Callithrix jacchus: one gene and its partner. The protein of the gene in region 1 purifies or fractionates together with the protein of each later gene. This does not show direct contact. Links are inferred from orthologs where the notes say so. Each region holds a gene or a part of one and is shown on either strand. Other genes may lie near its edges. The genes, in order: NGFR and NDN.

What was found.
Region 2: the proteins of NGFR (region 1) and NDN purify together in Homo sapiens (affinity purification with western blotting; 3 studies listed by BioGRID). This does not show direct contact. The link is inferred for Callithrix jacchus from reciprocal best matches to the Homo sapiens genes NGFR and NDN.

Annotation. Positions count from the first base shown.
Region 1 is NC_133506.1:116,797,693-116,801,505, reverse strand, and holds part of NGFR (tumor necrosis factor receptor superfamily member 16), read left to right. Parts: intron 1-2,161; coding exon 2,162-2,414; intron 2,415-3,813. UniProt on the Homo sapiens protein: Low affinity receptor which can bind to NGF, BDNF, NTF3, and NTF4. Forms a heterodimeric receptor with SORCS2 that binds the precursor forms of NGF, BDNF and NTF3 with high affinity, and has much lower affinity for mature NGF and BDNF.
Region 2 is NC_133507.1:5,529,674-5,533,586, forward strand, and holds NDN (necdin), read left to right. Parts: upstream 1-1,480; 5' UTR 1,481-1,568; coding exon 1,569-2,534; 3' UTR 2,535-3,380; downstream 3,381-3,913. UniProt on the Homo sapiens protein: Growth suppressor that facilitates the entry of the cell into cell cycle arrest.

The DNA of each region.
Region 1 (3,813 bases):
AGCCGAGGGGTGGGGGGGACCCAGGGGTGCGGCTAGAGCAAAGAAAGGTGGTGGCTGGGGGAGGAGCAGGCTCTGCCTTTTGGGGCATTCACAGATTCCTCCCAGATACCAGCCCACTTTCACAGCTACCCCGAAGGAGGAGGGTGCTCCTGAGGGCGTGTTCATCCAGGACCCTGTTCCCCTTTCAGCTTCAGGCTCTGAAGGGTTAAATGTCAGCTCTGGGACAACAGACCATTTCAGGAAATGGAATTTGATTCTTGGTTTGGTTGCCCCCTCCCCTCCAGTGTACCATACTGCCACACATGTACGTTTCAGGTGTCAACATGGTGACTCACCCACCCTCAGGGCAGAAGGGCTCCCCCCAGTCCCAGTGAAATTCGGGTTGGGTAGGGATAACCTGGTCCCTCCTTCCAGCCCGGAAATAGCTGTCAGGACCTGCCAAGGGCTTAGTGGGTTGGAATGCTAGTGGACGCGGCCACATCTGGATCTCATCCCCCCACCCCAGTCAGAGAGGGTTGGAGAGATGAGGGCAGCTCCCTGAGAGCCAGCGCTGCCTCTGGTCTGGCCACACCTTGCCACCCTCCCATCCTTCCCCTACCATGCTCTGATCTAGGTGATGGTCTCATTCACCGGCACCCAGCCACGCACACTCCTTCAGCCTCTGGCTTGGGGTCAGTCTGAGCTGAGCTGTGTCTCCAGCCTCTGGGCTTGGGCTGCCCCCCAGCTTGCTCGGTCCCCTGGGAGAGCAAGAGAAGACCCTCCCCGGTCCAGCGCTCCACCTGGGGCTGCCAGAAGACAGGGCTCCATCTCCTTCACTCCCTCTGCTCCTCCCAGGACTGAGACAGGAAGGGTGGGATGGGGTGGCAGATGGCAACCCCTCACCGATGGCAGCCAGATGGATTCCGGATTCATATCTGGGGGCTTTGCCCCTCAGAAGGTGCTGAAAATCGGCCTTTGAAGCATTTTCATCTTGAGTGGAAGAGGTCACAAGATGGGTGGGCGGCTTCCATTCCTGCTTGGGTGGGCAAAGTGGGGGTAGGGTGGGCAGAGCTGGGAGCAAGGTATTCTCCCCTTCACCCCACTGGCATGTCCTGTCTGCTTTCCCTCCCTGCCTCAGGCATGGGAAGTGAGGAGGGACGGGGCAGGCAACTTTGCCCAGGCAAGTTTCCCCAAACTGTCCAGAGCCCACGACCCCTAGCACTGCTCCTGGCTGTGTGGCAGAATGGAAAATCCCACCCACCAGTGCCAGGAAGGGCTGGGTTCCTGCCAGGGAGGCTGGCAATGCCCACTTAGCACGAGAGGTTCTAGGTGGGTGGCAAGTCACAGTCAGCCTCCTGCTGAGGCAGTGAGCTGGACCTGTCTCATGGGCCCCCCTCTCCACACTCTCTGCTTTCTGACCAAGGAGGGTTGGGGCTTGACTTGATGCCGTCTTCTCTGGATGGGAGGACCAGGCTAGGTGGGAGCCAGGCGAGAAGGAAACAGAGGCTGGCCACTGTCCAAGGGCTGGCTGGAGGGAGGCAATGCAGCTGCCCCACGCCCCTCCTCTCTCCCCAAGCCTAGAGCCTAGGACGTGAGACTGGAAAAGTTGTGGGGGTGCAAAAAATTGAGGTGCAGCTCCCAGGGAGGTGGTGTGGGGAGCACTACTCTGACCAGACCTGAATACCCTCTTCTTTCCTTAGGACAGGAGTGACTGGGGTCATCTAGGATAAGCTGGGGCCAGAGACACATTTCCTGGAGTGGTTCCAGCTCGAGGCCTCTCTGTGGCCAGGCTTCTTTGTGTGTTTGCTCCCATCCAGGCCTCTGGGTACACAGGGAGATGGACTAGAATTCCAGGACCACAGCCCCAGATGGAAGGGAGCTTCAGACGGTCTCTTTTAATAGCCCCATTAGATAGATGAGGACACTGAGTTCCTGAGAGAAAAGGGGGCTGGGCCAGAGTCACCCAGCAAGTCAGTGATGGAGCTGAAGCCGATGCAGCTCTGTGCGCTTACAGGCCTTGCTCTTGAGCGTCATGACGTTGGACATACGATCCCAGCCCCCACTCTGCATGACAGCTGGGCATAAGAGACCTGGAGCCAGGGCGGGGACATGGGAAGAAGGTCAGACCTAAAAGGGAGGGGTGGGGAAAGTGGGTCCTCACTCCTGTGGCCTTTTCTCCCAGAGATCCCTGGCCGTTGGATTACACGGTCTGTACCCCCTGAGGGCTCAGACATCACAGCCCCCAGCACCCAGGAGCCTGAGGCACCTCCAGAACAAGACATCATAGCCAGCACGGTGGCAGATGCGGTAACCACAGTGATGGGCAGCTCCCAACCTGTGGTGACACGAGGCACCACTGACAACCTCATCCCTGTCTATTGCTCCATCCTGGCTGCTGTGGTTGTGGGCCTTGTGGCCTACATAGCCTTCAAGAGGTGAGAGAGGGCATGGTGGGAACAGAGAAGGGAGATTTTGCCCTCAAGGAAGACTTTGCCATGACCTTGACCTGAAAACACACACACTCTTTTAACTCAACCCCAAACCAAACTCATCTTCACTCATCATCCGCTGCCCCACTCCAGGGTGCAGCAGCTCAGTAGGAAGTGAGGGGAGAGGACCCACCTGTCCTGTCCTGTCCTGCCTCCAGCCCCTTCCACTCCCATGCCACACCACTCCCTGACTCCCAACCCCCTACTGCTTGTGTCCTCATCCCCCAACCTCCTTCACCCCACCATCACCCGTGTGTGTGTGTGTGTGTGTGTGTGTGTGTGTGTGTCTCCTCTCCATCCCTTGTCACACTTGGAATCCAGGAATTCGGGATGTGCAGGAACTCCCAGAAAGCATTTTATTTTATTTTTTATTTTTATTTTTTTGAGATGGAGATTTGCTCTTGTTACCCAGGCTGGAGTGCAATGGCATGATCTCGGCTCACCGCAACCTCCGCTTCCTGGGTTCAAGCAATTCTCCTGCCTCAGCCTCCTGAGTAGCTGGGATTACAGGCATGCGCTACCATGCCCAGCTAATTTTTGTATTTTTAGTAGAGACAGTGTTTCATCTTGTTGACCAGGATGGTCTCGATCTCTTGACCTTGTGATCCACCCACCTCGGCCTCCCAAAGTGCTGGGATTATAGGAGTGAGCCACCGCGCCCGGCCTCAGAAAGCATTTTAAAGCTTTAAATGCATTTTCCATTTTTACTAAAACAAACAAACAAAAAACCATCAAAGTGACACATGCATGTTTAGGAAAATGCACACAAGACAATATCTTTCAAACAGAAAGTGAAACTCCCCTTCCATCTCTTCAAATCCTACTCCCCTCCTTATTGGAATCTGTTTGGAATGGATCCTTCCCATTGCCAACTATTTTCTGCGTGTCTTTTTTATAAACATGTATATAAGCCTTTTATAATGACATGTAAACACAGAGGGCTTTTTAGGTATCAGTGGGATCACATTGTACATATTCCATAGCTTACTTTTTTCACTCAGCCTCCCTCAGGAGACCTTTCCTCAGGAATGTAGATTAGCTGATCATTTGTAACCACTCATTCAATAGTATGGATGGATGGTAATTTATTTAGCCAGTGCCCTATTGATGGACATTTGTTTTTTTTTCTCCAGTTTTTTGTTATTGCTTATAATTGCAGAGAAAATCCTTGTATATATCACTGCCCGCATATGGGAGTACTTTAGAAGGGTAGATGGGGAGAAGTGGAGTTAGTTCCTCAGCACTGCTCATTTCAGGAACATTTACTGAACAGTTACAGAGGCCCCCTCTGCCCTCATGGAGCTTTCAGGGTAGGCGGGGCGGGAGGGGGGTGGGGGGGGCGTTG
Region 2 (3,913 bases), on another chromosome or scaffold:
AAAAGTGTTGAAATAATTCCAAGTAAGACTGATATCTATGAATTTCCCTGGTGGAGTGGGAAGCTAAAGAGACCAAAGAGTCCTGTTGGAGGGACTGGCGTGGGAATGGCCCTGTCAAAAGTGTCACATGCATGCCAACCCAACCAGAGAAAGCACAGAAAACCCTTCAACACCAACCTGCTTGAGGAAAATTAAAGTGACAAATGAGAAAAGATAGATACTCATAGTGAGGACTCTAGACATGTCAAGACAATTTTAAAACATGCTTTGGGCTTCAAGTGGCAATAACTAGACTCGAGACAACATATTTAAGAAGCTGCTGATGAGAGGGAACCCGGCAAGGGCTGAAGGACCACATCAACGCAGACCAAGGATGCTGAAGCAGCATGGAGGCCCCTGGTTGTGGAGGCTCCAGCAATGCCCCTTTTTCCACGGACAGCCTCTAGGAGTGACAGCTTTGCCTTGGCCCACTGGGAATCTGTTTTCTATAACTGGAAAACAGGGCTATCCATATGTTGCCCCCGCTACCTTTTGGTCATCTGAGACACCGCCAGATATTGCCCATGGGACCTATATCTTTTTGGAGATCTCAGGAAGGAATGATTTGGGTGTGACTCCCAACACTGAGGACTCAGTAGCTTCAGAGAAGGTCCTGGGAGAAGGTGAATCGGAGAATGAGGTGCTGGGCAGAGGGAAAAATGCATTATCATACAAGTTTGTGCTAATAGATATGGCAATCCTTCTGTTATGGACTAAGCATGGAAAAATAAAAGAAAATGGAATCAAAGTGACTCAAAGTAAGTGTAAAAGCCAAACCTATGCCCATGAAAGCATCAATGATGGTCTAAGCCCACTGCCTCCTGAACAAGTTCACGGCTCACGCGGGTAGGAAATCACGTTAACGACACGCTGCATTTCTCCTTTCCTTATAACCGCATTTCTCCTTTCCTTATAACCCCTCTGATGTGGTAGGGAGGGAGTCAATCAACTTTTTATTGGAATTTCTCAGGATTCCAACCTCGGACATCCGCCTCACAGTTTACACGTCTTCTCGGACAGCCCGACCGTTCCTCTCACTCGTTCACATAAAGCTCCAGTTTGCACAGCCTCCCAGACCTTCCTCTGGGGCTCTCATACTTAACTGGATTCTGGATATACCCAGGCGAGCATTTCCCAGGAAAGTCGACCCCAGCATCCCCAAAACCTGAGTTATCATCTTTCCCCAAAACCTGCTCCTTCTCCACAGGCATCCATCTCCCTCCTCTCCTACCCTGAACTTCCTCGGCCGGAACAGGAAACCCCGGGATCGCTGTCCCGCCAGGTGACGCCTCACCGCGGACCCTCCCCGTCGGGGCCCCTCGCGGCCCCGCCCGCCCCCGGCCGCCCGCCCGCCCTGGCCGCGGTCGCGCAGGCGCAGTGCCGCGTCCCGCCGCCGCCCCGCCCTGCCCGCCGCTGCGGAAGGCGCCGCGCGCAGCAACGCGCACTTCCTCTCCAGGAGTCCGCGGAGGGAGCGCAGGCTCGAAGAGCTCCTGGACGCAGAGGCCCTGCCCTTGCCAGACGGCGCAGACATGTCAGAGCAGAGTAAGGATCTGAGCGACCCTAGCTTTGCCGCCGAGGCACCCAGCTCCGAGGCGCAGAGCAGCCCTGGGGTTCCGGGGGGGGTTCCTCCGTCCGCGACCCTGGCGGAGCCGCAGAGCCCTCCCCTAGGCCCGACGGCCGCCCCGCAGGCCGCGCAGCCGCCCCAGGCCCCGATCGAGGAGGTCGACCCGAAGGCTTTGCTGGAGGCCGCAGAGGAGGGCCGCGCCCACCAGGCCCCGAGCGCGGCCCAGCCCGGCCCGGCGCCGCCCGCCCCGGCGCAGCTGGTGCAGAAGGCGCACGAGCTCATGTGGTACGTGCTGGTCAAGGACCAGAAGAAGATGATCATCTGGTTTCCAGACATGGTGAAAGATGTCATCGGCAGCTACAAGAAGTGGTGCAGGAGCATCCTGCGGCGCACCAGCCTCATCCTCGCCCGGGTGTTCGGGCTGCACCTGAGGCTGACCAGCCTGCACACCATGGAGTTTGCGCTGGTCAAAGCGCTGGAGCCGGAGGAGCTGGACAGGGTGGCGCTGAGCAACCGCATGCCCATGACGGGCCTCCTGCTCATGATCCTGAGCCTCATCTACGTGAAGGGCCGCGGCGCCAGAGAGAGCGCCGTCTGGAACGTGCTGCGCATCCTGGGGCTGCGGCCCTGGAAGAAGCACTCCACCTTCGGGGACGTGCGAAAGCTCATCACCGAGGAGTTCGTCCAACAGAATTACCTGAAGTACCAGCGCGTCCCGTACGTGGAGCCGCCAGAGTATGAGTTCTTCTGGGGCTCCCGGGCCAGCCGTGAAATCACCAAGATGCAAATCATGGAGTTCCTGGCCAGGGTCTTTAAGAAAGACCCCCAGGCCTGGCCCTCCCGATACAGAGAAGCCCTGGAGGAGGCCAGAGCTCTGCGGGAGGCTAATCCCGCTGCTCACTGCCCCCGCAACAGTGTCTCCGAGGACTAGCAAGGTCTGGAGGCAGATGAAATGCTTTCTGACCCTCACCGGGGCTGTGGAAGGGTGGGGGTGGGTCATTAGAGTGTTCGGGATTTACAGTGCAGTATTCACGTGTAACTTTTAAGTTTTCAGTACAGTGCTTTTATACCTTTAATGCAATGTTGTATTCATTTGGGTACTCTTGTGTAGTATTTAGGATGTATGCATGTTTGTTTATATGTAAGCTTGGTTGGTGCTTTCGCTTTTGTGCTACCTTTCTTGGATTTTTGTACCTGAGACATGCTAAACTGACGAAGTACCTTGAGAAAGTTTGCATCTTATTATTTTATATGGGACTGGTGATGTGTGTTGGGGTAGACTGCTCCTGCAGAGTTTGGAAGAACTCACCAGCAAAGCTGGCCTAACCAAGAGAAAAGTCAAGGCTCTTCGTGACCTTGCTGGGCACAGAAGACATTCTCGTGGAGTAAACTGATTTGAACTGGACTGGTCTCAATGTGAGCACTTGGCACAATTTACTAAACACATATACAACCCTACCGTGAGTCAACTTTAAAGTAAACATTAAAGATTCTTGTGATACAATCATTTTTGGAAAAGTGTACTCTTATCATTTTAACAGAGCACTATGATTGGGAATGAGACAATTCTCTATTTTACAATGTGTACAGATGTAACTGTTTCCCCTAATAGGGTGGGAAAAATCGCTACTCGTGATTACTCCTAAATTTGTGAAGGTTATAGTTTTATTGTCTTTAAATGTAATTGTTTATTTCAAAAACATGCACAAATATAAAGTATAAAAACAAAGCAGTATGATTGTCCATCATCACATCATATGAGAATAAAAACTAAAAATAACTTCCTTCCCTTAAGTTTCTATATTTTATCAAAATTAATGGATGTCTTGTGGGCACTTAAAGAGTGAGACATTGTACTCAGCCCTAACATGTATTTTTCCCCTTTTATTTAACCCTCACAACAGGCCTGTGAGGAAGGCATCTACTGCCTTTGCACCATGGAGGAAACAGGAATAATGTAGGTAATTAACTTTCCATAGCTTGTAAAGGTTAGCAAGAGAAGGAGCTGGCACTTCAACTCAGAATGAATCCAGAGCCCACATTTGTCCCCACCTGCCTACAATCCCTCATACACCCTGTGGCTTTTAGGTTATTTATTTTCAAACTTATTTTTACATTTTACGTGGGAGCCCACACTCCCAGCTCCCACCTCCCACACTCACATGCATTCATGGGCCACACAGAGAGAGAGGCTAGGAATTTTATTTTTCTAGTTCTCACAATATTTTGGAGAAAGCAAGATTATTCTGATTGTGTAAATTAAGAAATTTTCATCTTGTTTTTGGAATTTCCAGCCAAAAAAATATTTTG